3 linked regions of the Drosophila melanogaster genome follow. The protein of the gene in region 3 interacts with the protein of the main gene of each other region in a pairwise test. Each region holds a gene or a part of one and is shown on either strand. Other genes may lie near its edges.

Region 1 (6,077 bases), on a different chromosome or scaffold from region 3:
GTAACAAATATAGGAGCGAACCAATCAGTGAATGTGACATAGGATGCCTTTCCCTATGAGATTCCCATGAGCAGCTTACCTGTTGGGCTGGCTTATAAATCCAAGTCCCGAGCCGCACGGTTAAGCAATTTAACCTGTGAGTGGTAGGGGCAGGGCACCCACAACCTGGCACGGACATCAATCATTCTGGAAGGCAAGCGTTTCATTTGGTAGGCGAGTCAATCTTGTGAGCGCCACCTTAACCAATTACCTAACCGCAGATGAAAAACCGGGGGGAAATCGTGGGAAAAGGGGACCGGGCTGAGTTCAACCTTTGTTTGCTACCCAGATAAGACTTGCCACAAACATCCCGGCCTAAGTTATGCAGAGCGACGCACTCGAGCCTAACCGTACTGGAAATGGATCTGGAGTGCTGGTGCCGAGTTCATAAAATATTTATTTATGCGGATGCTGCGGCTCGATCTGGGGGCCCAAAGACTGATTGAAATGGCGAACGAGTTCATTTGTGTGTCAGGAGGTCGTCTGTCTTCTCATTTGTTAAACGTTTTGTGCGGCTGACGACGCAGAACACATATACATATGTATAACCCTGGATTTGCGCAATAATCAATCATAATGAATGGCCAGGTGGAGGTGGTCAATGGGATACCAAGCCCCCCGCCACCACACAAAATGTCAAATTGGTTGCCCTTAAAGTTTGCTCTAACTCTCACCTTCGTGGCCCCAAAAGATTGAGGAAGTGGAAAGTTTTCTCCTTTCCTTTAAGTTGGCAAAGTTTTACCCAACTCAGATCCTGACGTATGTATTTATTGCCGCTGCCTTTTGTTTTTTCAGCCATTAAAAGGAAAGGTGGGAAAAATTTTCACAAAGTCATAAATGCGTTCAACTTGGCTTAAATCCCCAGCGACTATCTACTGAAAACTGTGAAAAGGATTTTATCCGTAAATTTGTTATATTGGGAACAGTCAAGCTAACCCGCATAGTTTATTTCCTAAGGTTTACTTACGAATCAATATAAAATGTTTTTTGTCTAAGGGTTAATTACCTGGAACAGAGAAAAGAAACAGCAATTAGGCTTAGTAAACAACAATACAGTATGATTGTGACAAATTTCTTTATTCCAAATTCATTTTAAATATAGTTCTCGGGACATCTGGTTTTCGATAAAAGGTCTTAATTTATCCGTGGGTTCCTCCTATTCAGGGTTCACAACGGCGGCATACGAACATGCCAAAAACCATGCCCATCCCAAAGCATATTACATAGGACATGATTGTGTTTACTAAGGAAGGGAATTTGAATATCACAAGATAACGAATGGAATTTACAGAGACTTACGCGGGTATTCTTGGCGATGAGGAAACCAACGATGCCACCAACAACGAATGTTATAAACCGCTGCATATTTTAATGAAACTTGAATTCCCGAGATATTAACGGAAAATTTGTCTTATTTAAGAGCATACAAAACGTACACTTCGTTCTGACTGTCGATGGGAAACTGATTACTTTAATTTGAAGCACATTATTATAATGGAAAAAACCAAGCGTACTTGATTCTATTGTAATTTACCTTCATAATTTTGCTGAAAGAATTTTCTAAAGCGGCTCCTATGTATTCTGCGATATAAGATAACCCACAACGCAGCCAATAATAAAGATTAGAATCCATTCCATTTCCGCCGATAACTTTAATTTTAGGTGTTCGAGCGACCTAAATAGTTCAAAACGAATACGTTATGAGCTGACTTTACTAGAAAAGCCAACTTATTTGATACGGTAATGAATAAGTATTCATGTTTAGCAATGCTTACGAAAATATTGATTACCTTATTGATTAACTTAATGGTCATTGAGAAAATCAATCCCAATTTCCAGTCCCTTTTCTGCCTGCTATGGCACTGAGCTTGCTGCATGCTACATCACTAGCTGTACTGCTTGCAAATCTTCCATTCTCAAGCAATTCTCCAAAAATATAATGAATACGAAAGTTTAAATTTTATTTATTGTTCATTTTAATATATGCAATGTTCCTCATAATTGATTTAAGTTATAATTTTCTTTTTGGGAGCTTAGGCTTAGCACTTTCGGCAGCTCATCATTCCGATAATCACGCCCAAGGCGAAGGATATAACGTGCGTCATTTTGATTTTTTCTTAGGTTTCGAAAGTAAGAAAATGATTTCAAGCGCTTGATACCAAATGTTATCTTCCCAATCAAAATCCAGTCCAGTCGGGATTTTGAATTTCAGGATGGCATAAGATTTCAGGCGAACTTTACCCAAAGATTTCTTGCCTATCCTCAGGTATTCTTGGCCACGACGTATCCCACCAAACAGCCAGCTAGAAATGTAATTACCCAATCTACATCCATTTTATAAAACGAAAGTAGTGGGTTTGGAACTTGTAAAGCCTAAAATAAACTAAAATTGAGTGGTTTGAAAAAGCCTACCACAAATGCAAAGGAGCTCTTACCTTTTTCTAATTATGCTTGCCTATCAAATACCCCACAATACAGCCTACAATAAAAGTGATGAACCACGAGTTATCCATAATTTTCAGCCCTAAAGTATCAGTACTTTTTGTTAGGTCTTTTTGAAAAAATTGTTAATTTAGAATTTTGCACTTTAAAGCGACAATACTATCAATGAAATAGAGACTAAGGAGTTTGATTTTAATTTTAGAAAAATGCATTTTACATAACGTTTTGTTTTTGGCTTTGTTTTTCAGATGTATTAGAAAAAAGGATTGTGACTTTAGCCTAGACATTATAAAGAAGAAGATAGGATGCTTAAAGAAGGATCCATTTTGAAAGGATTGCGGTCGAAGAAAGTACTGGTGTAATCTTAAACCTTAGGCATAATGAGTGTTAGGTTTTATCAAGTAGTTTACGAAATAAACGTCAAATACTTAACTCACATCCAAAGGCAACACAGGCCCCACTGTTCTAAATTTCCCATTCGGCTAACATCATTTTTCTGATTTTTTTTTTGGCGTAAAATTAACACGTTATTAGAGGGACCCTGTGATTGCGCGGACATCTAATCCATAATCCTTTGAAGATGTGCGACAAGCCCGCCTGCCCCCCGCCTCCGCGATGCTGTCCTCCGCCACCGCCTCCCTGTCGCCCGCCGCCCACCTTGTGGCAGAAATTGAACTGCGTTCCGTGCAACCGTTTTGTGTTCTTCATGATCGGGGCGGGCATCGGATTATTCTGGGACCATATGAAGAAGGAGGCCCAGAAGGCGGCCGAGGAGGCCGCGAAATCGCCCAAGGAGAAGGAGAAGGAGGCCAAGGAGCGCGAGAAGAAGCAGAAGGAAAAAGAGAAGGCCGAAAAGGAGAAGGCGGAGAAGGAGAAGAAGGAGAGGGAGAAGAAGGAGAAGGAAAAGAAGGAGAAGGAAAAGAAGGAGAAGGAGGCCAAGGGCAAAGAGAAGGGCAAGGAGGGCAAGTAACGACTATAGACCCCCAAACGGACATGTCAAGGAGCAGGATGTTTTCCCCCAAAATTCTCATCGAATCCATATCGTTTCTAAACTTCAAAATTTTCAAGTGCATTATATGGCATACCTAACGATAACTATTGGTCAGTCCATTGCCGCGTTGATGGAAGGCTTCTTTATTTACTATCTAGTGTCCACCCTTATAATTCCAGATCAAGTAACAAGATCGGATGGGATATTTAACTGGAGAGAGGAAATGCCTTTGCGAAATTTGGATAACCATATCAGGCTTAAAATTATACATCACCCGAAAATTGAAATTTACATTTTGGGTTCGTGATGATTTTGAGATATGATCATGATCTATGTTCTTACCGCTAAGGCTTTCTAATACGTTGATATTCTATTAAAAATTGTACAATGAATACACACCAAATGTATTGCCCTCTGCAAGGACCCAAAATTAGTAAATTTATCTAAAGTTATTCAACAAAAATTTGAGAATATTTGTGGTTGGTCAATCAGACTTTAATTATTATACAAAGCATAAGATTGCAATTTTTAATTGTAATAGGCACTTAGTTATCGGTAAATTCGATGTTCATTTTCATAACTCGTTACTCGTAGTTTCGTTTAAAAGAAAAAGAATTAGAACGCGTTTCTTGATCAAGATCAATAAGGAAGTCGATCAGGTGCTCTGCAAATTTTGTTACAGGACGATTAATGAAATAATCAAATCATGTCACTAAAGTACTATTTACAAACATTTAGCGAACAATTGCTCCCACAGATTTGAATAATGAGCCCATATTAAAAACACAGTAAGTCTTGTACAGCACCAATTTTATAGCATTTTCAACAGAGGAATATATAATAGAGAATAGATCAATCGAATAAACCTGTATTAAATGTGGCAGTTAATTGTTCGATTGACAAATTGCTCTTTAGATAAATTTATCGACTGAGAAATTTCCTCTCCATTCCATTCATCGGCGGACAAACTTATCGAATGGCATTTTGTCTTCCCTGGCTAACGCTGCAAACGGTTGGGTAACTTCATGGGTGATGATGAGTCCAGGTTCAATTAGCTAGTGCCAGGCTTGGATGATTGATATTACCGCCGGGCATGGCAGATCGGTCAGTCCTACTTCTTGGCCTTGCCTTCGTCCTTCTTTTTGCCGCCCGACTTGTCGTCCTTGTTGCGCACGAAGAGCACGCCCAGTCCCACCCCGATGACGAAGAACAGGACGCGGTTGCACGGCGTACAGTTGAGCCTGGCAAGGAGCGACGGCATCGGCCGGCACACCCTGCGGACCTCGGTACGCTTACAACAGGGCATGGCTGCAAAAGCTCGACAGGATTTGCCACAATTTAGACCAAAACTGGAATCGCTGTCTGATGGATGTTAAATTAAAACCAAACACGTTATAAATTTTGTGTACGTCGAAAGTCTGATATACTGATTGTAAAGCCAAATAAACACTGAGCTATGTCAGAGCTGCCGCGTTGACAGGACGTTGAAGTGGCTCGAAGTTTGCCGACTCGACTACTAGATCAAAGACATAATCTTGCGGCTTATGGCTCATTTTCGCACAATAGATACGCACCTAAGAAGATCGTATTGATTTCTGCCAGTCTTGCGAGTGATCGGTCGGTCTACTTCTTCTTGTCCTTGCCCTTCTCCTTGGGCTTTTCGTCCTCGGAAAAGGTCTTACCGTACCACAAACCCACTAGGACGCCCGCAAAAACCGCAGACAATCGCTCGCACATCAAATGCATGGTGTTGCTAGATGATAACCAAAGGAAGACGTCGGTGTCCTCAGAACAACAAATGATTTTTTAAATTTCAACAATTTTGAATTTTTCCAGATTCATGGAAGTTTGCTGCTGTGGCCAAAACGGATAACTGAAAAGTGTCGGCACGAAGTTTCAAAGCCCATTAACCCAAATCTCACAGCCTGCTTTGAAGCACTTTCTACACAATATAAATTATTGGGGTTGGCGCGCACTTAATTAACCGAACGATTTCAAAGGACAATTTAATTAGGTGGGATTACGTGTGTCCCTGGGCTGTGAAAATGCGAAATTAGAGTACCATTACACCACCTCGGTGAGCAACTTTTATTGAAATCGCTGCGTACTTTTGTCGCATGCAGCACTGTGCGAAATTCAAATCAGTTGGGGGCACAACCAAAATAAGTAAATACGAATTTACGCAGCGAGCTTTAAGCCATTGTCATTTGACATTTATCCCCAAAAATTAAAGATACGATGTTTAAGATGATACAATACGCATTCTCGTATAATTATTTAAATGCAAAATCGTTAACATCTGCTTCAGAGCATGTGATAATAAAACCATATAAACATAGCTCTTTCGGAAGCGTTATCAGCGGCCATTTACTTCAAACTTTTCCTTTTCAAGCCAATTGCATCGTCGACGTTGGAGTTTTGCTCATGTCTACTAGTACGTTTTGGACTAACTAGAGGAGAAATTCGTTTAAGAGGACTTGCACATACGTATCGTATTGTATCGTCTAAATGGTGTGATTTTTCCACCCCTTTTTAGCTATTTTCTTATCCCTATTCCTTGCCTTTCTCCTTGCCCTTGTCCTGGCCACCATCCTTCCCCTTCCCC
Region 2 (7,334 bases), 7.5 Mb from region 3:
ACTTTTTATTTTATTTCGCCTTATTCTGGCCAACTTTTGACGCTTTATGCTTGGCCATGTGATTTGCTTTATTTCTCTTTCTCTCTCTCTGCTTGTTTTTTACGTTTCCTCCTCCTTTGTGTGTTTTGTTCCCACATTCGCAATCGTCTTTTACGATTGTTTTGTTTACTTTGACGTCCTAACTGCCCTGCAATGTATGCTAAAGTTTTCCGATTTTCCGTTTGTACCTTCACTCTGCTGCTGCTCATTTGGCGCCACTTTTTGGCCAAACAACTTTTGTATTTCCTTTGAGTAACTGATGGTCGAGCAGCTTATGTAAGTGGCAGCAATTTGCCAAGCAGTTAGCGGCAAAAGCTGCAAGGAACACTTGCCTTGAGGTGGAAACTTATGGAAAGTGACGTAGAGTCGGTGGGGCACTGATAAAAGTCGGTGGGAGCGACAGTCTGCGTCTTGGGGGAAAATTTATAATGGGATCTGGTAGAGTTGAAGAGGTCGAGCGTAGCTGAAGTTTTTAAAGTAAGCTAAAGTCTGAGCAGAATGGCAGAAAGTTCGTAGATCTGATTTCTACTTTGGATTTGGCTTATTTGTGAAGCTTGGCGTAAAAAAAATAAATTGCTCTAGTAGAACAAAATTGTAAAACCATTGCTCGAACAAAATAAGAATACTAATAAAGAGTTTGACAATAAAAATAAAAAAAGACAGGTAATTGAACAAAGAGATGGCTTGATAAAAATTATATATACTGGCACTGTATTTTAATTAAGGATATCAAACTCAAAATAACTATATCTTAACAAAAAGATAAGTAGATAATTTTTCAATATAGGCTCTCTTACTTTTAAAATCAGCTACTCTCTAGAATTTATAGAAAACAATTTTCCCGAGTTCCTCATACCAAAATCATTATTCTATTATTCATTTGGATTCAACTCAGCCACCTTAAACAGTCCATACAGCCTATATTTGTACACTTGCCTGTTCCCAGCGATTCATTAATAAATAATTTCTAGCACTTCCTATACTGACATATATTTTACATACCCCTTGAATGTGAATGCGAATAAACAGCGCAGGCTGTAAAAATCGTGTTTGTCTTCTGCCTCAATGAACTATTTTTATTTATTTATACACTATATTATTGCCAGGCGTATTTGCGTGAAAATACTGCGCTTAAATAATATGATTTACAAGAAAAAAAACCCGTTTGGCAGTGGACTGAATTGGCATTGCACCTATAAGTAATTAGGGCAAAATGTTTGCCAATCCGAATATATATAGGAGCGTTTATGATGCAGTTTTTGGAATTTTACTATCGAAATGGCCATAAGGAAATAGGTATCCCATTTGCATGCACCGAAGAGATCGTAAATAACCTCTGTCTTGGCCTTATCATCCATTTATTTCGCATCATCTGCGGCAGACAATGTAATAAAAGGGGAAAATTTTTTCGCACGCTCCGAGGAAAGATGTTAAAAATAAACCAAAGCAGTGCAAAGAGAACTGCAAAAATGCGAAGCAGCGGACCAAAGCAAAACCTAGAAAATATACCATGTGTATGGGTAATGGTTGGGCATTTAGCAAGCAATATACCTAATTTAATTGTGTTTTTTGTTAAAACAAATTCACCCGCTCGTCGCTACAGAAATGTTGAGTATATTTCGGTGTTTTTCATCTCATTACTGTGAGGGTGGCGGTCAGACAAATGCCTTTGTTTCAATGTCTGTCCTTAACACAGCATTGGAATGCCGGGAATTTCGCCGAAAACGACATTTTTGTCTGGCAGCCAACACGCCCCGAAATATGCAACATGTCTCCTCGTCCCGCCATCCCTCCCTCCATTCCGTATCCACTTTTCTTCTTCTGTGGCGGAGGCTCCACCCAAGAGCACGCAATGTGGCAAGGACGAGGACATTTCACTATTCAAAAAACATAGTTTCAAAATCGACCAGCGTTTTAAAGGAGTTTCTTTTCTTTTAGCTAGATATAATATTAAATAAATGTTTTTAAAGTAAATGATAATGAAAACTGTGTTTTAATTGTTGGTTTATATACTGTAATTTAATGATATTCCAGTGCACTGCTATTTTAACTTTTAAATGCGTTCATTCACTAATAAAATTTTACTTATGCCTGACGAGTTTTTCTTCATTGATTTTCTAAATTATTTCGCTTTAAATAAATTTTACTTAGTCCCCTTTGCCTGAAAAGGATTTAAGCTTTAAATAAAGCTTGTGTTATTTCGAAAATACCAAATTATCCTTAGAGTGTAGGTCACATACTGGCTGACGCATAAGGCTCGTTTTGGCTAATGATTGACTGACTGGCTGAATGACGGACGTAGTGACGAACTGACTGACTTACGAACGGACTGACTGCCTGGCTGACTGACTGAGGGAATGACTAACCAGCGTGTGTGACTTTTCCCAGTTGTGTGTGGGCTTTCGGCGACTTTGCGTGTAGTTCGTAATTTAAGTAATGTGGGTCGCAGCCTGAAAGCTGAGCCCTGCGTATCCTTGTTGTTGTTGCTAACGCGATTTACCTTCCAACGAAACACGCGCCACGGTTCCGTTACGTTGGCATTAGCTGTTGGCTGTTGGCTATAGCTATACCGTTACCAGTGCTCTTAGCGTTGGCATATATAGAGAGACCTGCGGTTATAGCAGCCTTATTGTCATTGAAGGCAACCCACCCAAGACATAAATTCAATTTCTTTCTGTTCGATGTGACAAGTCGTGAGGAGATCCCCCCTTTTTCGCCCACTTGCCACCCCCAAAATGCACCGCCATCGCCCCTACACTCCACACCCCTCCCCATCGTGTGGTTGTATTTGTTATTATTTTTTGATAGCCACCTTTTCGTGTGTTGCTTTCTCGCGATGTCGTCGCCGCCGCCAAGAAAAGGGGTTCCCATTTTCTCGCCCCTTTTCTTGGTTTCTTTTGCGCTTTCTTGACTTGCTCTTTTGGCTCGACTGTCGCCGTCTCTGTCACGGAGTCTATTTCCATCTCTGTCTCTATGCACTGGCTGCACCTTGACACTAATATTGTGCAAAGTAAAATAAACTTAAAAAAACACAAAAACCAGAAAAAAGGAAAGCAAGTGCAACTAAAAATAGTCGGAGACCGCTAAAAGCGAATTGATTGGCGGCTGAGTGTGTGTGTGTGTGTGAGTGTCTTTTGGGCTCTTTATGCGGACACTTGGCGATTTTATTGTCAAGTTATAATTGGTAATTGATGCCGATACCCAAACTGATTGTGTTATGATACACAAAGCTTGCTCAATGGGCTGATTGCCGGGGATTGAAGCGACTGCAAATGGTTTTTGATTGATTTACCCACGCGGGGTAAGCTGCGATAACTTGGGGCTTTATATAAAATAGTGTAGCTCTGCGGCGGCCTTTCCTAAACTTAAACTCGGGTCTGCGTGTCTGAAAACTTTTTCCAAATTTAAATAATTGTCTTGTAATGTGCTAATACTAGGAAACCCTTTCTTTGATTTGTAAAAATATATTTTATATATTTAATTTTTTTGTTTTATATATATTAGATATATATTTTATTTTATATATTTTAAAATTTGAAAAATACATTTATATGATTTAAAACAAAAGTGTTCTGAGTATTTACTATATTTTTTGCCATTACAATTTCTATATGCTGCAAGCTGTGGTCTCTGGTGCGTATACTTAATATCTCGAATAAATGCTTTTGAGCCGCTTTACTTATATATTTTATATTTAAAACTCAAAATTTCTTTGAAATATTTTCCTCAAATAAATTGTATTACAAAACCAAGTAAAGTTAAGAATTTGAATTGTCGAATTAAGGTTTTTTGAACCGACAATTTAGTTATTTGAAAAATGTAATTAAATCTAATATTCGGTTCTTATTCCTTGACCTTCAAACGGTTTTAAATATTTTTTAGTGCATCATAAACTTATTATCGCTTAGCACGCCAAAATGCACTAAAAGTGTTCAGTTTTCAAGTTCATGCATAAATTAGCAGTGGTCCGTGGGTGCGTATACTTAATTTTCACCGCCAGTACAATCCTAGTTTTGAAATCCCAATTCTTTGCATCCTAATTCTCTAGCTTTAATTTTTAATGACCACTTTTTTGAAGCCACTCAATCTTGCAACACTTATTGTCGCTTCACACGCTCGCTGTGGTTGTTCTTGTTGTTACTGGTGGTGCAGTTGCTACAATTGTTGTTGTTGTTGTTATTGTTGCGGGCGGTGGTATGGGTTACTATCCCGCACCCAACGCGAAGACCGAAAAGAACCCAACACCAGAGCTTTACATAACTCACTCGCTCACTCACTCACTGCAAAAAATGGAAACACTTGGGTTGAGCGTTAAGAATTCAAAACACAAATACACATTTCAATTCGCACATTGCAATTTCCACGCGATTTTCAATCATTTTCCAACACATTGGATTAGGCCCTCAATGGGTTGGCACTTTTGGATATCATTCCGATACCGTTTTCTTGCGAATATCATATATATATATATATATATTATATATATATCGAGGGCGGTGTGAAGTCGATATTACTACGCTGGCTTATTGTTTGGCCCGTCCGCTTTGGTGACGAGTTTTCTCCGCTTCCGCAGTGCTGTTGAATTGCAAACCCGACCCGAACTGAGACCTCAACTGACCAAGTTTTCCTTTTCATGCAGTTTGGCACGCATTCTCGATTCGGAAAAGCGGAAAAGCAGGATGACGAAGCGCGGCGAACACCGAAAAGTCTCTGGTGCGCCGCTTGCTTTTCGATGTCGCCTCCTATTTTCCCGTTCGGAGCCAAAGCTCACCGCCGGCTCTCTCCGAAGCTCCTTGAATTGGGCAGCTTTCCGAGTGCCCCAAAGCTTCACAGCTGATTGCCGCCAGTGCATGCGGCATTTCGACCCCTCGGCACCGCTGCTCCCCCTATGGCTCCCCGTCATCCTTCGTCCGTAAAAACAGCTGATGCCCGAGGGTCAGTCTCCGTGTCGATGGAGACGCGGCGGCTCGGGGGCTCCTTGGTATATGAGAACAAGAGACATCGAACGCGACCTCAAGGTGCCCAAATTAGGAGACAAGCTCCAGAACATCGCCCAAAAATATATGGAAAGGCTTAATGTACACCCCAACAGCCTAGCAAGGAAGCTAGGAACTGCAGCTGTGGTCAATGCTGACCCTCGGACTAGAGTCAAAAGAAGACTCAAGCGACACCACCCTCATGACCTCCCTAACCTGGTTTTGACCTAGAAAGTCTTAGTTTTAAAATTCATTAGAATAATCAAATAAATAATAATTACTATGTTATATCAACTATTATAATTCTCCCTATCATTTTTAGGATTAAAAATCTGTTAGTCTTAAGTAACCAAGACACATTGTAAAATAAAATAATTTAAGCAGATCAAATTAAGTTGCCGCATGGGTAACAGTGCGTTGATCAAATAATAAAAACATCATCGTAATATGGAAAAAAAAAAAAAAAAAAAAAAAAAAAAAAAAAAAAAAAAGGAGACGCGGCGGCAAGTGACGTAATCCTTTGCGGATGCACGTCGCACAGTGGGATGGTTGTGCATTCTAGCAATCAAAAATGATGAGATGTTTATTTAAGATATTTTTTATATTTTGTGATATAGAATGTATGTATTTTTAATTAAAATATTTAAGTAACTTGTAAAAAGGCAACAAATATATAAAATAAGTTTGTTTTTGCATAATAAAAATTAACTTCACAACAAAAAAAATTACTTCAATTAACAATTAAAGTAAATGAAATCGATTTAAATTATATAAAACACAGCTGACTTTTAATAAAATTACGCATACGCCCCATACACCACATAGAACTTCCCATTGGCATTTTATTTAAAACGGCTTGGTTATTATTTGAAATATTAATTTTATTTTTAAATTGCAATTACAATCTGTTGTTGTTTGCTTGTCTGTTCACGGTTTGTTTTTATGCTAAGTGGTATTTTATTTGTATTTATATATATTTCACACATTTTCTTGCAAACAATATCAATAATTCTTTTAACCTAATAACAGATGCCACTTTGTTTGGTTTTTATTTTTATTTGTTTTGTTTGTTTGGTTTTGTTGTTTCCCTTACACTTGTTGGTTCTAATATTTATCTCTTGTATGGTTCGATCTCGGCCTGGCTGCAATTCATCCACCTCAGACGCGATTCCTCAAGCTTAAAATTAAATTACAAAATACAATCATTCAACTTATATCCGAAGATACAAAACAAAGCGCACAATGCAGTATTTAACTTAGCCGTAATCACTTGCAGAACTAATTACAATATTACAATATTATGTTGAAACGCAGGGGAAAACAAAAACAACAACGTAAAAAGCGTAGTACAATACACAACATTACCCTCTAAATGTATTTTAATAAGTATGCGAATCGTTTATTTTGTAATGAGTAATAAACATTCTCCATTGCACTGCATTTGCATCTGAAGTAAAGCGCTTGCCTTGGTGTATAATGCGTGTATATGTATATATATATCGGGGTGTATATATATACTATAGATAGAAATATGTATACGTTGCATATAAAATTATCTCGGCGCAAATATTCGCTGCTCATTGCACAGTGCTAAGCAGTTAAAATGAGTTAGTTGGGTTTGGTGGTGATTATGTTTTTGAGAAGAGCGCGAAAGTTTGGTTGATCATCTAGTATAGGCGTCAGTTAAGGTAAAAAGGTAGGCGTGGCATAATGCAGCATTGAGTATTAGGTGTTTGGATTGGAGTCCTTATAAAGCAATTATCATTATACATTTCCTCGTAGCCGCGATTGGAGTTTAGTTTGCAGAGCGTTTAGTAATGCTTACGTGTAGTGTTATTACGTTTTAGTATCTCGAGTGAAAAATATGATCTTTACATTTCTTATGGTACAATTGTGGTGATGAAATGTAACTTGTATTAAATGCGCTTGTATGTAAATATATATGGATGTACGAATGCTGGTGAGGCATATAGATGTATACTTCGTATATGTTGGGTATGCTGGTAGGACTTTGTTCTTGTATATGAAAGTAAATACAGAATACAATATGATCGAGGTGTATATGATATATGCATGTATAAATATATGAATGCCATCTCTTCAAGTCGGTGAGCTTAATTTTGAATGTATGTTCAGCTTAAATGCGTTTCTTCTTGAGTATTTTCCATATGATGAGCGATAAATAATTTGATGTATCGTAGTTAATGCTAGAAAGTAATTTCATTTCAATATTATTGCATGATTCTTGTTTGAGTTCGTTCTCGTGTGTTTTTTTTTTTCTCAAGTACTGACTGATTCAATACTCTTAAATAGGTATGT
Region 3 (10,581 bases):
CGCCGTTTATCGGCCGATCCAGCATGCCGGGCATTATTTATATAATACTCGCACTGGTTTTGGTTGGCGATCGGGAAAAAAAAAAAAACAGTGATTAGATGGAAAGAAAACCCGCAGAACTGGTGCGTGGCTTTGGCCTTCTATCGTTTATTATGGCCATCTTTTCGCACACAAACGGCTGTTTCTATCTTTCTATTTTTTAATATGCACTGCCACTGCAGCCGCAATTTTCACTTTCCATTTTTATTGGCAACCGCAGGCGAGCGCCGTCAAATATTTGGCCAAAAAAGAAACTGCACGGCTGCCAAAAGGTTTTTACGTCTCCGCGCCAGCCTGGCTTTCTTTTAATTAAATTTTGCTCTTCTGTTTTCAGTTTCTTATTTATTTTTTTTTTTTTTGGCGGTCTTTTCCTGCGGTTTGTCCCCCTCATTTCTATGGGATCTGCAGCTCGTCGTGTTTGGGGTATTAGTTCTGGGCACTGGCGCTTAAAGCCGAGTCACGCCTGTCATATGCAGTTTGGCTTTTTCCGTCGAGCTGAGATCGGCTCGGCATTATGTTTTGTTTTGTTTTGTTTGGTTTTGTTTTGGACCTGGCTCTCTCTGATCTGCCCAAAAAGCTAACTGTAAACATTCACTTACTGACCTCTTTTCCCATGCGACGGCCACTTCCACCTCCACCTCCACTCAATTTTCTTTAATGCACGCGACTCCGCCGCCAATGATCTGCTTCTTCACCTTCCTCCACCCACCGCCAGCGCACAGTGGTTCCAAAACATGTGGAATTTAAGCACCCACAACGCATTTCCCAAAAATGATGATTTATTGCACAAAGTTTTAAGGGAAAGTACTCGTAAGAAAAAAAAGCAACATTAAAATTCTTAAAAAGATTGAATATTAACTTAAAGCTCATATGTCCCGAACCATGAAAGATTAAGGATTATGTTTTGCTTAAGAACATTTATTTACTTACTATTTATAGTTTAAAATATAACTTCATTTTTTATGTTACTAGCAAGTTATTTATTTGGGTAGCATTACTTTGTATTCCTTTTAACATAAGCTAGAATTACTTAACTAAAATATTATTATATCAAATATATAATACCTAAGACAATTAGATAAGGTCTAAGCTCTAATAGCTAAACTATGCCAAAATCAAATATTTTTGTGTGAATGCATTAGTAAACATGCACCTTAAATTGGCATCAGGACACTGTGCAAGGTGATAGTAGGCTATGTGTGTGTGACCCTTATTCGCAACGGCCGCTGAGGCGTAAAATTTATGGCTTTAAAGTCTACAAGTCTATAAACACAGCTTCCAGGCTGCACTTTCTACTGCAACTGCAACTGCCAATGCCAATGCCACTGCAACTGAATCGTGGACTCGGATCGTGAATATTGTATATTGGATGTGGGATGGTATGGCTTGGGTTTGGGCATCGGAGATGTTGGGGGAGCACGGACGTGGATGTGGATGCATCTGATCCGATCGAATCGTATCGTATCGAATCGAATCGAGTGTGTGAGTTATAATTTCAAATGCGGCGCGCCTTTTTGGCTGCATTTTGCTGCCACTTTTGGCAAATTAAATTTGTACGCAAAACCGATTAGGCCAGGCAGACATGACCAAGTTGTTATTTTAAATACCAACAACTCCATTTAATCAATATGCCCCGGCACCCAACAATGCACTCGAAAAACTTGTGGTAGTAAACCGTTAAAGTTTAAAAAGAAATATAGGTCTATTCAAAAAGATCAAGACTAGACTACATTTTTAACTTAAATTTACTTGCTCTCTTTACTGCTCTCAATATATGTTACATTTTGAAAGTTTGAAACTGCACAGACATGCATATCTTTGAATTGTATCCTTTTACAATCCACCATTGCTGTTATTGTACATTATAACTTTTTTATTATTATTCATATATATTTTTATTTTTTCATTGTTTTTCAACTTTAAAAACTTAAAGAAAGCGGTGCTTTTTGTCCTAACTGGAAATACTCTTGATTTAGTATTCAAAAGATGAGTGAATTGTTTCGAGTGTAGCTGCAACAACAACAGCGCTGGATGCTCTGCTCTGCCGTCGCCGACTGCGCTGCCTTTCACCCATATAAATTTCTTTTCATTGCAAATTTTTTGCCATTCGTCGGCGCATTGTCAAACCTTCCAGTCGCATTTGGAGCCCAAGCTTTCCGAGATTTCAGAGCGACTCTAGAGCGCACTAAACAAAGGCCTAAGAAAAAAGTTAAAAAGGCGAAAAAAGAAACAGAGGCAAAGACGACAATACGAATTGTACAAATCGGATGCGAGCGCGAGTGTGTTAGTGCCCATTCATTCATTCATTCATTCGAGAACAATAAAAAAGAAGAAATGAAATACGAAATGCAATCGCCGCAGTTGCAGTCGCAGTCGGCGTCGCAGTAGGCGTCAGCGGAGGCATCGGCCGAGGCAGAACAGTAGCAGCAGCATCGAAATCCGAAAGACAGATCATTTTTCATATGCGAATCGAAACTCGAAGAGCGCGCATCAAAGTCAAATTCAAACGACAAAAGAGTAACGGACAAAAGCGAATTGTTTTGTGCGCATAATAGAAACGAAAAAAAAAAGAAAAACGTTATAAAAAGCAAATAAAAGGAAAATAAAGCCTTACCAGAACCAGTAATTGAAATCAAATTAAAGGCGGGCCGTGCAAAAATCCACAAAACATCAAGAAAAAGCCATAAAGCCAAGGCGATAAAAAAGAAATTATGCTCCATTGTGCGATTGTGTGAAAAGGTCAAGTGCCCGGCAGGCAAAGGGAAAAGCGAAAGAGACAGAAGACAGCGTAAGACACGGGAGCTTGATGTTGATAGGCAAACGAATGAACTCGTAAAAGGGCGCTAAAGAGAGAGAGAGAGAAGGCAACACAACGACATCGGTTAACAAGAAGAGCAGGAAGAAGAAGAAGAAGAGCAGGCCAGGCCCAAATGACCGCAAGATTACCGTTAATTCGAACAGCTTAAGCGCCATTACGAGCAGTTATATAGTCCATATACTATATAGCACCACTATATCTCTATCTCCCTGGTAGATCGACCGAGGAAGAGAAAAAAAAACTTTCATCCACCGTGAGCCGCAGCCGCATAAAAGTTTGCTACTATTTCAATTTCAATTGTTAACGAGCGAAAGCGCCGCACGCCTCAGTCTCACATCACGCACGCATCCGATCCGAGCGGCAACAACAAATCATCAAGCGTCTAATAGGAAAAGTGCAGCAGACAGCCAGCGAAAATGCACCACAAACAGCATCTGCATCTGCATCTGCAGCCCCCCGCCCCAAACGCCACCCAAACACAGGCCCACGGACTTGGCCAGACTCCAAGCCAGATCGCCAGATGCAGCCATAACCACAGCCCCAGTCTGGGCCTCAGCTTTGGCGGCACCAAGAGCCAGCGACAGCTGTTTGGCGCACTCTTGGCCATGTTCACGTTGGCGGCATTTGCGTCAACCACCAGTGGTAAGTCGTACACTGCGAGAAATCCCAAAATTGGTGCTACACGTTGAGTAGAAAGTCACAGGAAGTAGTCTTAGATCATTCGAATCTCTTTCCTGGCATTCTCACTATTCAAATTGTTTAATTGCCTCAAGAAATGAATCAGCTAAAGAAGTATACGTTGATTCAGATTCAGCAAAGTTCCTCCTAACTAAATTAAAATCAGATTAAGATAAAACTAGGTTCCTTAAGCAGAGCATTAAGTCCAATATAATCATAAAAGAGAAAACTGACTATGGAACTCTTAAGCCATTGCTAAAGTAAAGAATGCTCTATTTAAATCCAGATTAGTTAACATTACATTTAAAAGGGCCTAATACAAGTTTCAAAGGGTATTAGTTTTCCTCTTGCTAAATGTACTTTCTCCTAACTATCACATCGTTATTGAGTTGCAGTTAAAACTGCGGACAGAGTTCTAGGGAAACCCGAGTTCTTCAGCGGAAAACGGCAACTGATCTTGAGCTAAATGAAAGTTGCAGACAGACTGGACAAGTCCCAGTGAGTGCCGTCTCAATTACCGCCTAATTTCTCCGGGTGTTGAAACGGAGAAGGTGAATCGGGGTCCGGATCTAAGACCTACAGCTGTGCGGTGGTAGAAAGGCCGTCGCAGCAGCTATTCAACTATCCATTTCTAAGGTACTACTCCGCACAAAGTGAATGTAAACTGGCACACATACACGAGCGCGAAGCTTCCAATGCCCCAACACCTCTCCCCCCACCGCCCCCTAGACCACGAACTCCCCAGTTTGAGGCACTCACTCCTCGACGCACAACATGCTCGTAAATATTTTCGTGCACAATTTGTCCAACATTCGTATAAATTCATTAAAAGCACGAAGGGGCCAAACAGAAGCCGGGGGCCTGAAAACGTAGGGGGGGGGGGGGGCTGGTGGAAGAGGGGCGAATCGCTAGCTCATGGGGGGGGGGGAAAATCAAGCTGACCGCACAGTGGCAGCGAGCTGGAAAGGGTTGGGGGTCAATTGGGGGGGTTACATCGTTTAAAGTTGACCCGAAGCGAAATGATTTATTTGACTTGTAAGCGCGATCGTTTGGCTAATTGATAACCGCACTTCATCGGAGATTGATGGGTGAAAGATCAATTAGTTTTGGATGCTGTGATATATGCTCGCATGCATATACACATATATATGTACATATGTACATATATGTTTTAATGGCCCCAATCAGTGGCGCCGTGATTCATTCATCTATGGGCTTGGTCATGTCGCTGCTCGCCACTGTGCCACACCAAACCGGAGCAAACCGAGTGCACATGGTGTGCTCCATGTGCATATATAGATATGTATGTACATATGTACATATATATATGTACATACCCAGTATATATCATGCAAAAGTCCCTGCCCAGCAGTGCAGTGCGTTGGTTGCTGGATTTTTCCACTTTTGAAAATTATACGGTGGCTGCTTTTATTATTTCTCTCGCCTTTTTTTTTTGCAATTGATGGCATCCGATAGGCAGGAGCCTGCCAGCAATTCGCTGGAGGCCAGGAAAATGCACCTGCACTGGGAGAAATCAGCAGAACATATGAACAAAAGGAAATCAGTAAATCAGAGGTGTATTTAAAATGCAAAATAGTATGGTGTATGGTGTTGTATAAGTTTGTACCATTAGTTTGCATGAGTGATTTGATTCTGAGTTTATCCCAGGACTAGTACCACACTTTTCTGCCAGTGCAGGATTGGTGAGAGTGGGTGGGGCGGTTGAGGTCGCATTGCTGCAATGCTGAATGAGATTGGCTGTGGTCTCGGCTTTTGCCTCTGACCATTCCAGCGGATCGTTTACATGTGCATTAATTCCTAACGCCGCTTAATTTTCTCCGCGCTTAATGGCTCCTCTGGATGCCGATGCCTCCGATTCAGATTCGGACTCGCATCCAGCCAGAGAAGCATCCGAGTCCATTAAGCTGAGAATGCGTCTGCTCGACTGACTGACTGGCTGGCTGGCTGGATGTTGAAATTTCCATCTTTATGGCCGGCAGCAGCAAATTGGAATAATGAACGTGGGTTCAATTATCGCAGCCAAACCATCGTGTGGCAGCCTCAAAGAGCGCTAATAGATTTTCTACTGCTGTTGGGTATGTCTATTTACGTTCGTATATCTTTAACTAAGTTGAGTGCTTCCTCCGGAGGCGGCTCTCACAGCTTTCTTTGCAAACAAAAAAAAAAAAAAAAATAAGAAAAATGGACAAATCAACCCAAACTAAACCAGCAGTTCCACATCCGACCAAAGACAACAGAAATGTTCGGCGCCGGAGGCAATTAGTGTGGAAATTTCACTTGCAGTTTTTAGCACAGATTAAGCTTACGATTTCTGGAGGGGATTAGCATGAACAATTATAGATGGAGGTCGCTGATAGTCCGTATGAACGAAGCGAGTGTATTAGCTGTGCTCAAACCACAGCCAAAACATAAATGCCATTGTGTCGTTTTACTTGGAATCGAGATTTGAAGACGGGTAACATTTGCCGTTGCCGTTAGTAAAAAGGGAAAGAATTATTCAAGTTAATGGCTGGTTACTTGAGTCGGTCATGCGATCACTCCAGAATCAGAGACTGGTCTCGGATGCGGGGGAGTGTCGGCGGGTGGCGGCATGGACACAGTGGGTCACAACTGCGCAAAATGCCCTATGATCGTGCGGCTAATCTGACATTTGTATGCCCACAGTTGACTCTTCCGCATGCCACCGCTAAAGAGCTGTGGAAAATGCGAAGGGAAAGTTTCATTTGGCGGTCTCGAAACAGAGTTACCCTGGGAAAATTCGATGGACAACCGGTCATTACGTGCGGGGAAGTAGTAATTATTACTAAGCTTTGTTTAATAAGTTCATATAACAGAGGAGGAGGAACTACTGTCTTGCTTTAAATGTTTAGAATTAAGTTTCTAGATAGAAACCAATTAAATTCTAAAATCATTTCCATCCACAGGCGCTGTGACAGACTCACCCATCAAGATTATCCGGCTGCCGGCGCAGGCGCCAGTTATCCGCTATCGCAGTGCAGATGCGGCGCCCAACTCATTGCTGATCAACTATCGTCAGGATGCGCGACCGGAGCTGTCGTCCACATTGATGCAGGCACCCGGAGCGGCGGCAGCTGCCTTGGAGTCGCTGCTGCGCGAGGAGACGGAGCAACAGCAGCTGTCACAGATGGGCAGACGGAATAGGGCTAGTAACACCGGCACCGGCAACTGTCCTCGATCCTGTCCACCGAGCATCACCGTGGGAGCTGAGCCCGTGTGCGGCAGCGATGGTCTGATCTATGCGAATATCTGCGAGCTGCGCAAGAAGACTTGCTCCCGCAGTGGAGTGTCGCTGATCAAGGACGTGCGGGATGGCTGCGAGAGGTCGAAGGGTTCGGACTGCAAGCACCGCTGCAGCACGGAGAAGGATCCAGTGTGTGGTACAGACGGAAGGACCTATCTGAATCGCTGCATGCTGAGGGTGCAATCGTGTCGCGTGGGATTGGCTGCAGTGAAGCTATCGCATGTGGGTCCCTGCAGCAACACGAGTGCCGTGCGTGAGTCCTGTCCGGTTGACTGCAACAGTGCGCCGAAGGATGGACCAGTTTGCTCATCGGATGGCAATGTATACAACTCCACGTGCGAGATGAAGCTGAAGACGTGTGGACAGGGTGTGGTGAAAACCAGCCGGAAGCACTGTCAGTCCACACGAATGTGCAGGGAATCCTGCTGGCGTGTGGCGAGGCCCACTTGCGGATCAGATGGCAGACTGTATGCCAGTCCGTGCAAGATGCGCTCTTCCAATTGCGGCAAGCACGTCTTTGAGGTTCCCTTATCCTACTGCATGTCGCAGGAGAGGCACGGAGCCTCCGATGCCTGTCCCACGGAGTGTCCCAAATCGGATACGGATTCCTCGTCGCAGTACGTGTGCGGCAGTGATGGCAACATATACTCTTCGCTGTGTGAACTCAAAATGCTCAATTGCGGGTGAGTTTGGATGAGATAAAAATGGAATATAACCAGACTAAAATTTTATCTTTCAGTCCACAGCGCAAGTCCATTCAAAAAGTGAGCATGGACAAGTGCAAGAATCGACTGACCCGCTGCAAACAGCTGCCTCCTTGCAAGGACTTCAATAGCTTGTTCGGTTCCATCTTCAGCTCGAAGCGAAATGACAAGCTCTGCGGCACGGACGCCAAGACTTATAACAATGAGTGCGAACTGGCCCACGCCACCTGCCTGTGAGTATCCATGATAGGATCATCCATAGGACATGGATCTAGCTCTTCAACTTCTTTTCAGACGCGGCGTGAATCTGGCCCACATTGGTCCCTGCACGGATCTCAATTCGCCCACCAAGGATTGCGGGGATGCCTGTACTCGGGCGGATCTGGAACAGCAGCCAGTGTGCGGCTCGGATGGCAACACCTTCGCCTCCATGTGCGAGTTCAAGCGGCGCACTTGCGATCTGCGTGTGGTGCCCGTTTCGCTAAAGAATTGCGCTTTAACCGCCGACTGCGAATCGGATTGTGATGCCCAGCCGCCAAGTTTCGTCTGCGGATCGGACAACAACTTGTACAAGTCCGAGTGCCACATGCGCAAGGAGAATTGTGGCAAGCATGTTTTCGTGGTGCCACTGAAGCGCTGCCTTGCCGCCTTTCAGCTTAAAGGATGTGCCCGCATCTGTCCCAGGGAATTCGAGCCTGTTTGCGGCAGCGACAATAAAACGTATCTGAACGACTGCTTCCTGGAGATCGAAAACTGCAGGGCGAACCAGACGGTGAACGTCAACTACTACGGCGCCTGTGGCCGCCCCGAAGCACCATCCACTAACTTCCTTTACTAGGACGTATGTATGCGTGGCGTCTTCATTTCACTTGGCATTTAATATTTGTAGGCTATAGTCTTGTATTGTACTTTTTTTAAAACGATATTTATTGAGTTTGAATTAAAGCCCCCCAACGAACTTACAAGGAATGCACTTAAAGCCTGGCCTGCATTTAACATCTAAGCCGAATCATCAAAGAGCTTGCTCAGCATAGCGTTGATCTCGTGCTGTCTGTACTTGACGTATTTGTCGGGATTCTTACTAAAATGCACTCCAGAGTAACTAAAAATGATACAAGATGGTTAGGTATAAGCTGATAAACCCTATATACGCTTACATTTCGTAGAATCTATTGTAGATGGGCAGTATGTGCTCCACATTATCACGTTTGATGCCTTCTCGCAGGATCACATCGGGTATGGAGATGCCCCGCTGGATTTTGCATGCCTCCTCAAAGTCCTTATTGAAGTTCTGGAAATTATAGAGGATGTTTTTTTTTAAATCAAGAAAGTTTAGCTTATTTTAAAAATAAAAACCTACAGAAAATCTCTCTTTGAGCACACTGCGATCCTTATCCTTGACCTTGCCGGCCACTGGTTTGGGCAGTTCATCCAAGGAATAGATGCCGACCAGCATCTTGGACCAGGTCTTTTGATAGCTAGCCTTCAGTTCACGTATCATCTCCATGTAGCTATGTTCGCACTCAGGCTCAGCCAAGGTGACCAAATCAATAAGATTGGAGCGTTGCAGCGACTTGAGGATATAGTGAATGTTATTTAGTCGGAAGAGGTGCTTGGTGGCCTGGTCATTGTACTGCTCGCACTTGTTCATTATGGAAAGATTCAGTTCGGCCAAAGCTTTCTCTGCAAAATATAGATAGTGGTTTAAAAATGTTCGCACAATTGATCTTGTTGCCACTCACTTATGTAAATCGCCAAGAGCGCCTTATTGCGTTCCTCGACTGGCAGCGCCTTCTTCATCAAAATGGTGTCCAATTGCGTGGAGTACAGGACATCCTGTGCCAAAATGGAACCAATAACATCGAAATGATCGTACAAGTGCTCAATAAACCAGATCGTATTGGAGGTCAGCTCGTGCACGGTGGCATCCTTTGGAACATTGCTTTGGCCCACAATATTGGTGCTCGATTCGCCCTTGACTACGTCCAGGAAATGCTCCAATGCCTTGGCACCGGTGTGCTGCAACTTTTTTAGTACTTTTTTCAACTGTTCCCTTTGCGCAGGATCGTATGTGCGGTCAATATCCGGCTGCAGCAGTATAACCCGCTTTAGGGCGGAGAATATTCCCAACGCCGAGGTCCACTCCTTGCGGGAAATGCAGCGCAGGATGCGTTGCGTAATGGCCTCAGCGTCCTTAACCACCAGATCGATGGCATTATAGGCCAAGGTGGCGAATACCTCGTTGTGTTTCGACTGGGGAATAATGTCGATCATGATGGCTCGCTCCCAGTTAAGTAACCGCTGCAGTCCCAGCAACATGACCAGATACTTGTCCAGTTCCTGATCGCCATCCATCAAATCCTCGGAGGTCAGGTGGTCGCTGTGCGATGATGCCTTCTTAATGGAGAACCCTGTGGACTGCTCAATCGTCTGCGTCGCGCGTAAATATAACTTGTTCGCCTTCTTTTCGAATCTATGCAGAATAAATTAAATATATCATATACGAAAACTTGGAAATTAAGTAATATTTCTCACATTTGCTGAAGACGAGCGGAGGTTGTCTTTTTTGGCTCCGTTTGGCGTCCACTGTGTCGCGGTCTCTGCAAGAAAACATTTTAAAAACATTAATTTGAATTGTTAATTGCCATTGCATTAATGTTTCTTCGGAATAATTAAGGTACTAAAATGGTAGCAAATTAAAAACTCTTATTTTTGTAACCTTTTAATATGCATTTGATTCTTATGAGTTTATTAATTTTAAAAATGTGTGTTTTACAAAAGCGTTTATACCCCAATTTTTTTTTTTTTTTTTGACAAAAAGTATTATGCAATTTGCTAGCTTACGAAATAAATTTAAATTTGTAAATGAGCTTCGGAGCAACATTTTAGGAATTACATAGATTCTTAAAGTGTACTAGAGTTTATTATTTAAGGCTAAAAACGACGAGCTTTAAGACACCAGGTCTTTTACAATAATTCTAGAATACCTACTTAATTATCCACATATATTAAAATCACAAAGTTTCTCTTCACATAAAACATTTTAAAATCTTAGTGTA

The links. Proteins that work in one complex are often made in the same cells at the same time.
Region 1: the proteins of CG32354 (region 3) and CG46298 interact in a two-hybrid assay, tested with the Drosophila melanogaster proteins (one large-scale study listed by BioGRID).
Region 2: the proteins of CG32354 (region 3) and pHCl-1 interact in a two-hybrid assay, tested with the Drosophila melanogaster proteins (one large-scale study listed by BioGRID).

The regions. Positions count from the first base shown.
Region 1 is NT_033778.4:10,350,455-10,356,531, forward strand, and holds CG46298 (uncharacterized protein), read left to right. Parts: upstream 1-2,913; 5' UTR 2,914-3,061; coding exon 3,062-3,451; 3' UTR 3,452-3,582; exon of another isoform or gene 3,583-3,651; 3' UTR 3,652-3,935; downstream 3,936-6,077. Other genes in the region: CG46305 (uncharacterized protein), read right to left, coding at 1,200-1,271; CG43172 (uncharacterized protein), read right to left, coding at 1,280-1,282, 1,339-1,404; CG43200 (uncharacterized protein), read right to left, coding at 1,612-1,677; CG43178 (uncharacterized protein), read right to left, coding at 2,079-2,144; CG43171 (uncharacterized protein), read right to left, coding at 2,302-2,373; CG43201 (uncharacterized protein), read right to left, coding at 2,481-2,552; CG12902 (uncharacterized protein), read right to left, coding at 4,584-4,778; CG43397 (uncharacterized protein), read right to left, coding at 5,096-5,218; CG42733 (uncharacterized protein), read right to left, coding at 5,840-5,922, 6,034-6,077.
Region 2 is NT_037436.4:15,894,279-15,901,612, forward strand, and holds the start of pHCl-1 (pH-sensitive chloride channel 1), read right to left. Parts: upstream 4,643-7,334; 5' UTR 4,554-4,642; intron 1-4,553.
Region 3 is NT_037436.4:8,413,759-8,424,339, reverse strand, and holds CG32354 (uncharacterized protein), read left to right. Parts: upstream 1-2,134; 5' UTR 2,135-3,273; coding exon 3,274-3,499; intron 3,500-6,480; coding exon 6,481-7,501; intron 7,502-7,557; coding exon 7,558-7,755; intron 7,756-7,816; coding exon 7,817-8,360; 3' UTR 8,361-8,483; downstream 8,484-10,581. Other genes in the region: Exo70 (exocyst 70), read right to left, coding at 8,522-8,624, 8,680-8,813, 8,883-9,205, 9,265-9,995, 10,058-10,122.